Sus scrofa: one gene and its partner. The main gene of each other region encodes a partner of the protein of the gene in region 2 in a complex. Links are inferred from orthologs where the notes say so. Each region holds a gene or a part of one and is shown on either strand. Other genes may lie near its edges.

Region 1 (3,808 bases), on a different chromosome or scaffold from region 2:
TTGGTGGGCAGTGAGGGTGGCATGTCCTCGTCTCAGGGCCTTGCACGTGCTGCTCCCTGGCAGCCCCCTGGACCCGCACGCTCTGCTCGCTGTGCCCCCTTTGCCCACACGCCTTCCTTGGCCTGAGGCACCAGGCGCTCAGCCCTCAGCAGCAGATCTCCCCGTGTCCCTCGGGGCACTGCGCTGGGTGCCAAGAGCGGTGCAGAGGCAGGGGCTGTGCTTAGGCCGTCCCTGTGGGTGGGGACCGGAGGGTGACCGCCGGTCCCCTGCCCTCAGGGTGATGCGGGCGGCGGAGGAGACGACGTCCAGCAACGTCTTTCCCTTCAAGATCGTCCACATCAGCAAGAAGCACCGCACGTGGTTCTTCTCGGCCTCCTCCGAGGAGGAGCGCAAGGTGATGGGGGGCCCGGGTTGCTCCGGGTCCCGGTCCTCGTGCCCAGAGCCTGGGGGCAGTGCCCTCGGAACCCGCTGGCTCAGGAGGACCCGTCTTCCCCGACCTTGGTGCAGGGGGGGGGCGAGGTTGGGGTCCTGCCGGGGGGCCTCCTGTCCACTGAGGCCCTGACCCACCCACAGAGCTGGATGGCCATGCTGCGCAGGGAGATCGGCCACTTCCACGAGAAGAAGGAGCTGCCACTGGATGCCAGGTGGGCCTGGGGTGAGATGGTGGGCGGGGTGTCCCCTTGACAGCTGTGCTCACCTCCCTGTCCAGGGGGCTTGGCCCAGAATCTCCGCCTTGAGGGCTTTTGTGGAGGTGCCAACTGGGTGTGTGTGTGTGTGTAGAAACAGAGCATGCAAGCACGTATCCCGTCGGTAGTTCCTGTTTGGGGGTACACCGCTTTCACCTGCCCACCCAGGAAGCCAGGCATTTGCAGAAGCTGAGACCTCTGGGTTCCTAGCCCCCTGACGCCCACCCCAGCTCCCTGGGGAGTGAGGCCAGATTGGGTCCCCAGGGTGGTAGCTCAGCCTGTCCCAGCCTCGTGGTGAAGTGGCTCTGCAGGTAGCAGGGGCTCTCTGGGCGGGAAGAGCATCCATCCTGTCCTTTCAGAGATGCGGGAGCGGGGCCTGGGTAGGGCTGGCATGCTGAGCCTGCCTCACGTCCCTGGCCTCAGCCCTCTGGGCTGGGGCCAGTGGGGATGGCACCATCTGGGCAGTCAGAGGGCACACTTGTGGCAGGAACCTCAGTGGGGAGGCAGGCACCCCAGCCTCCAGCCCTCTTGTTTGTCCTTGTGTGTTTTCCTGCGTCTCGATCTTCACACGTCCACACATCTCCATGTGTTCTCGTGATTATCCGTGCGTTTGTTCACGTCGTGTGTCCAGTTGTCTGCGTGCTCGTGCCTGTGTCTGTCTGCGTCTGTGTGTCTGTGTGTCCGAGTGCTTGTGTCGTACGGGTGAGTGCTCGACGCCCCCCGCCCGGGGTTCACCGCGCCCCTCCCGCCCTCAGCGACTCCAGCTCCGACACAGACAGCTTCTACGGTGCGATCGAGCGGCCCGTGGACATCAGCCTCTCTCCACACCCCACGGACACGGAAGGTGGGCCCAGCGCACAGCCTCTGCCTCACGTCCCTCTGCACCTGGCCCTGGCGGGGGCCGGCCGGGTCCTCCCTGGGCACGACCGGCTGTCCTCCCTGCTCTGTCCCTTGGGCTTCCCCAGGCAGCCTGGGTCCTGGGGGCCCATCCTGCCCACCTCATCCTTGCCCCCTGCCTCCCGCGGGCCCTGAGTCCGGCCTCCGTCTGTCCCACAGACTACGAGCACGACGACGAGGACGACTCGTACCTGGAGCCCGACTCCCCCGAGCCCGTGCAGCCTGAGGGTAGGCAGGGGTAGGCGGGGCCAGCCACAGGCTTGGGGTAGAAGGTGGGAACCGGGGCCTGGGGCAGAGCCCCCCAGGCTGGGAGTGTCACCTGGGTGCTGCGCAGGGGGCCTCAGGTATCACCGACCCAGTTTTCCTCCTGTGGCCCGAGTCTTGGGAGGAGCAGAGCAGAAGAGGCTTAAGGCTGTGGCTCTGCTCACCTGCTCCTCTGACCTCCAGTTAGCCCAGCAGTAGCCCAGGGCGGGGGAGGGTTGCTGAGCTGGGGAGGGAGGATAGCTCTGAGTGCCTCTGGGCCGGACTGTCGCTTGGCACCCCGCCCCACCCCCACCTCCCAAAGCACTTGGCCTGGCGGGGGCCAGGCGTTGAGCGGGCATCTCATACTAATATTGGCGTGCCCTCTGTCTCGTCGCTCCCTACTCCTGCCATCCCCTCACGGTCCTGTCCCTTCCACCTCCCTGGTCCTCCTCCCCCAGCCCAGCCTCTCCTCCCTCGCCCCAGCTCCTCTCCTCCCCTCCAACCTCATATTTCCAGGGATTTCTGAATGTCCCTCCACCCTCGGCCTCCTCTCCAGTGACCTTGTCCTCCGCCCACCTCGACCCCCTCGTGGCCTCCTCTTAGCTCTGCCTCCCCTCTCGAGTCCACCCGGGGCCTCAGCTCCCACAGGCCTTCAGCCCGCCAGCCCAGCCCAGAGCCCACGCGGTGCCCTCGTCCTGGGGTCTCTGTGCCCTCACGCCCCGCTCCACCCCTTCATCTCTCTGGCCTGTGACCCCAGCCCTGGTGAAGCCCCATCTCCATCTGCCCCACCCCTCGCTGGAGGGAGCACACAGGGGCTGTCTTATCTCCGCCCTGAACCTTAGGGGCCTGGCGCTCCTGCCTGCCAGCCTGCCTGCTCCAGGCATTCGGGCTCCCCACCCAGAGTGGCTTGTTGGCGTTCCCACCTTGGTGCTCAGTGCCCGTGGGCGGCACTTGACCAGGTGCCCTCTCTCTGCCACCACCTGCCTCACCAGCACCAGGCACTGTGTGCTTCAGGTCCCCTCCCGCCTCCTGCCCAGGCCTGTGCCGCCCACGTGCCCACACACACGACCGAAGGTCCCCCTGGCTCAGGACCACAGCTAGTGTGGATGGGCTGTTGGCCCTGCTGACATTGCCAGCCGGGACCTCTCTGAGCCCTGGGCCTGGGCTTCTCCAGTCTACGCTTCCTCCCCTGGCTGGGAGGAACTTGTCACGAGCAAACCCAACTCCCATCCTCCCCGCAGCCTGCTCCGCCCCTCCTCCTCCCTCTGAGGGGACATCCAGCCTCCCCAGCGGAGGCCTGATCCTGGGGGAGCTCCTTGCCTCTTTGCTCCCTGCCTCCCGCTCCTCCCACTTGGGAGCCTGATGGCTTCGGGAAGTTCGCACAGGCTGCCGTGTGGAGGGATGGACGGGGTGGGCCAGGAAGAGGGGAAGCCGCATCCAGAGCACGGGGTATTGGGCTGTAGGGTGGCCAGGTTGCATACCCACCTGGCTCTGGCCTTCCATGGTGGGCGGAGGTGGTGCTGGCCCAGCCTCCAGCAGGTGGTGCTTGCTCACCGCATGGGTCTCTTTGCTCTCCAGATGCCCTGATCCACCCGCCGGCCTACCCCCCGCCTCCTGTGCCCACACCCAGGAAGCCAGTTTTCTCCGATGTGCCCCGTGCCCACTCCTTCACCTCCAAGGGTCCGAGCCCTCTGCTGCCACCCCCACCCCCTAAGCGCGGTCTCCCAGATGCTTGCCCGCCCCCTGAGGACTCCAAGAGGGACCTGCTGGGCCTGAGGCGGGCCGAGCCTGGCCCTAGGGTGCCCCCTGCCTCCCGGAGGATGAGTGACCCCCCGCCAGGCGCTCTGCCCATCATGCCCGGCCTACGGAAAACACCTTGCTTCCACGAGAATGCCAGCCTCAGCCCGGAGCCCCGGATCCCCAGCCACGGGGCCAGCCCTGCTTCCAGCTCTGCCAGCACAGTTTCCGCCGCTTCCAGGAAC
Region 2 (3,808 bases):
CCAAAATGCTCAAAAAGACACATAGATGGAGTAATTCTTTCCCCTGAACAGAGGGGTCCCAACTTACACGGGGTCATACTTTAAAGATATAAACCACATATACTAAAACAATTTCTTAAACACTAGGTGCAGTGGGAGACTAAAAAGGAACTGTAAGAAGCGTATACTTCAGTCTCCCACACTTCACAAAAGGGTAGAACCTGCAGCACATTTAGGTTCCTGAGCCAAGGATGAAATCTGAGCCTCAGCTGTGACCTACACCACAGCTGCAGCAATGCCAGGTCCGTAACTTACCATGCCACAGTGGGAACTCCCCCTTTCTCTTTTTAAACCATGTGTATTTAGATAAACTTGTATGAGTCAAATATGCCTATACTGCAACTCCACTTAAGTATTAGCTGCAGCTCAGTGATTTTAATGGCTCATTCCCTAGTATCGTCAATGCAGCTGAAAAAGTTGTACTGAAATCACAATACGCCTACCTGCAAGGAAGACATACACTATGACAATTTTGTGAGTGAAAACTTAGAACAAATGTCATGTACTCAACTGTATTCAGCAAATTTCCTATGTTGAAGCCCTAAGCACTAGTACCTGAGAATGTGACTGTGTTTGGAGGTAAGGCCTTCAAAGGGGTAATTAAGCTAAAAGCAAGGCTATTAGGGTCAGCTCTATTCTAAACCCACTGTTGTCTTTATAAAAGGAAGATTTTTAGGACAGAGAGACATCAGTATGCACATATGTAGAGAAAAAGCCACGTGAGGACACAGGGAGCAGGTGGTCACCTGCAAGCCAGGAAGAGAGACCTCAGGAGAAACCAATCCTTGCCAACATCTCTAGAACTGTGAGAAAATTCATTTCTGTTGTCTAAGCCATCTAGTCTGTGGTAATTTAAGGCAGGCCTAACAAACTAATACAACAAATAACTTTGGCAAGAGGTTTATGTAACTTCTGAAAAGTCTTGGCTTGTGCCTAACAGCTATCATCAGAAGAATGGAAAGCTTCCCAAGAGGAAGGCCAGCTCAAGCAAGCATATTTTTAGTTTCTGTAGGCAAAACACACTCATCAGGAGTTCCCATCATGGCGCAGTGGCTAACAAATCCGACTAGGAACCATGAGGTTGCGGGTTCGGTCCCTGGCCTTGCTCGGTGGGTTAAGGATCTGGTGTTGCCGTGAGCTGTGGTGTGGGTCACAGATGTGGCTTGGATCCCACACTGCTGTGGCTCTGGCATAGGCTGGTGGCTACAGCTCCTTTTCGACCCCTAGCCTGGGAACCTCCATATGCCGTGGGAGCAGTTCAAGAAATAGCAAAAAAAAAAAAAAAAAAAAGAGAGAGACAAAACACACTCATCAAAGATGATTCAAATATTATGATTACCTAGAATAAATGTTCCAAAACACAGTGACTGGCAGAGCCTCTTTCAACTGTTCTTACTAAATACAACATGCTAGTACTAGAGTATAATGGTGGTATTAGAGGATATTTGATTTGAATCATTCAAGTTTACTTAGAGGAAGCATTTTACTCAGGTAAAACGAAGCATAGAGGTCACCAGCCTCAGTCTGTGACACTGCACTGACTTACCCGCTAAATGTAAAGGTGTCGAATGTCGGCCTTGGGTATCACGGCAATTTACATTATCTGGTGAAGACAACTTCTTTACTCTGGCTAAACAACCCTTCTTGGCAGCATCCAACAAAGCTGCATCTCCCCTAAGTAGATCCTGGATATCTGTATCTCCGTCTTTAACAAGATCCAAAGGAGTATTTCCATCCCTGTTTTTCTTTGTGGGGTCTGCCCCATGCTGGGCATGTGAAAAACATAAAGGGGGGAACTGGCTTAATTTTGCCCTTGGTCAATGAGAAAACAGTCAATGTAACCATACCATATTTTAAACAGAGATTCCACCTTAAAGATTAATGTGACTGTTATTCATGTTTAGTTTAATAAGCAAAAAATTATAATAATATAGTCAAAACTTTAAACTACATTCAAAACAAGGTAGTATTTCATTAGAAATGACCTTTTGCACATGCTATTTTTAGATTTTACAACCATATTTCAATGTTTGTACAAAGTATAAATTTAACTACACTTCTTTTTATTGTAAAATATCTACATGGTGCCAGTATAGATCTATCAGTGTACTACTGATTTCATTAGTGCTTAAAAAAAAAAAAAAATCTGGCTTACAGGAGTTCCTAATGTGGTGCAAAAGGATTGGCAGCATCTCTGCCGTGCCAAGATGCAGTTCAATCCCCAGCCTGACACAGTGGGCTAAAGGATCTGGCATTGCTGCAGCTGTAGCATAGGTCGCAACTGTGGCTCAGATCTGATCTCTGGCCCGGGAACTCCATATGCTGTGGGGGCCAAAAAAAAAAAAAAAAAAAAAAAAAACACCTTCCCCAAAACAAAAGACCTGGCTTAGAGTATTCATATTTATTCTGAAATCTAGGTACAGAATTGGCTAACTTTGATTCTTATCCCCTTACTGGTTTAAGTTTACATCAGAGGTATTGAAATACCATATTCTACAAAATGCGTCCTGTCCACAGTAAGTTCTTAAATATACCTGGAGCAGAAGTTTGCAAATTTCATATTTTCCTTTCGCTGCAGCTTCATGTAAGGGTGTAAATTTCCATAAGTCAGCGACATTAACTACTGCTCCATGCTTAACAAGAAGTTCTGCAACTTCATAATGTCCGTAAGAACACGCATTGTGTAAAGGTACAAGGCCTCTGAAATGAAAAGTTAAATAAGTAACACAACACAAAAATATATTTTAACTTAATTGCATTTAGTTGATAAATTTCTTGAATTGCATAAGGCATTTTCCTGATTGTATTTTAATTAATTAATTAATTAATTTTTGTCTTTTTGCCTTTTCTAGGCCTGCTCCCTCGGCATGTGGAGGTTCCCGGGCTAGGGGTTGAATAGGAGGGGTAGCCACCGGCCTACTCCAGAGTCACAGCAACTCAGGATCTGAGCCGCATCTGCAACCTACACCACAGCTCACGGTAATGCTGGATCCTTAACCCACTGAGTGAGGCCAGGGACCGAACCTGCAACCTCATGGTTCCTAGTCAGATTCGTTAACCACTGTGCCATGATGGGAACTCCTGATTGTATTTTATAGAACCCAAAACATTTATCTAAAGCAGAAATGGAATTAACTTTGCAGGAAAAGGCAGGAAAGAAATTTTAAAAATATTTAAAACTGCAGAGGAGTTTCCATTGTGGCTCAGGGGGTTAAGAACCCTACATAGCGTCTATGAGGATGCATGTTCGATCCCTGGTCTTACTCATCAGCTTAAGGATCCAGAGTTGCTGTGGCTGTGGCACAGGCCAGGAGCAGCAGCTCTAATTCAACCCCTAGCCTGGGAACTTCCACATGCCACGGGTGTGGCTGTATTTTTTTTTTTTTTTTTTGGTCTTTTCAGGGCCTCACCAGTGGCATGTGGTGGTTCCCAGGCTAGGGGTCAAACTGGAGCTATAGCTGCCAGCCTACAGCTCAGCCACAGCAACACAGGATCTGAGCCTCGTCTACAACCTATGCCACAGCTCAGAGCAATGCCAGATCCTTAACCCATTGAGCAAGGCCAGGGATCGAACCTGCATCCTCATGGATACTAGTTAGGTTCATTAACTGCTGAGCTCCAAGTGTGGCTGTAAAAAGAAAAAAAAAATTTCAGAGGGAGTTCCTTGGCCTAGAGGTTAAGGATCCAGCATTGTCACTGATGTGGCTCAGGTTCAATCCTTGGCTCGGAAACTTCTGCATGCCACAGGCACAGCCAAAAACAAACAAAC

The links.
Region 1: the proteins of TNKS2 (region 2) and SH3BP2 are in contact, whole or in part, in a crystal structure (PDB 3TWR), measured with the Homo sapiens proteins. The link is inferred for Sus scrofa from reciprocal best matches to the Homo sapiens genes TNKS2 and SH3BP2. Residues at the interface, in NP_079511.1 of Homo sapiens: Arg525, Ser527, His531, Phe532, Gly535, Tyr536, Asn537, Arg538, Leu560, Asn565, Ser568, Tyr569, His571, Asp589, Trp591, Phe593, Glu598, Lys604; in NP_001116153.1 of Homo sapiens: Leu413, Gln414, Arg415, Ser416, Pro417, Pro418, Asp419, Gly420, Gln421, Ser422, Arg424.

The regions. Positions count from the first base shown.
Region 1 is NC_010450.4:1,611,195-1,615,002, forward strand, and holds part of SH3BP2 (SH3 domain-binding protein 2), read left to right. Parts: intron 1-276; coding exon 277-394; intron 395-573; coding exon 574-644; intron 645-1,441; coding exon 1,442-1,530; intron 1,531-1,742; coding exon 1,743-1,811; intron 1,812-3,404; coding exon 3,405-3,808. UniProt on the Homo sapiens protein: Binds differentially to the SH3 domains of certain proteins of signal transduction pathways. Binds to phosphatidylinositols; linking the hemopoietic tyrosine kinase fes to the cytoplasmic membrane in a phosphorylation dependent mechanism.
Region 2 is NC_010456.5:103,437,726-103,441,533, reverse strand, and holds part of TNKS2 (tankyrase-2), read right to left. Parts: intron 2,740-3,808; coding exon 2,574-2,739; intron 1,806-2,573; coding exon 1,586-1,805; intron 1-1,585. UniProt on the Homo sapiens protein: Poly-ADP-ribosyltransferase involved in various processes such as Wnt signaling pathway, telomere length and vesicle trafficking.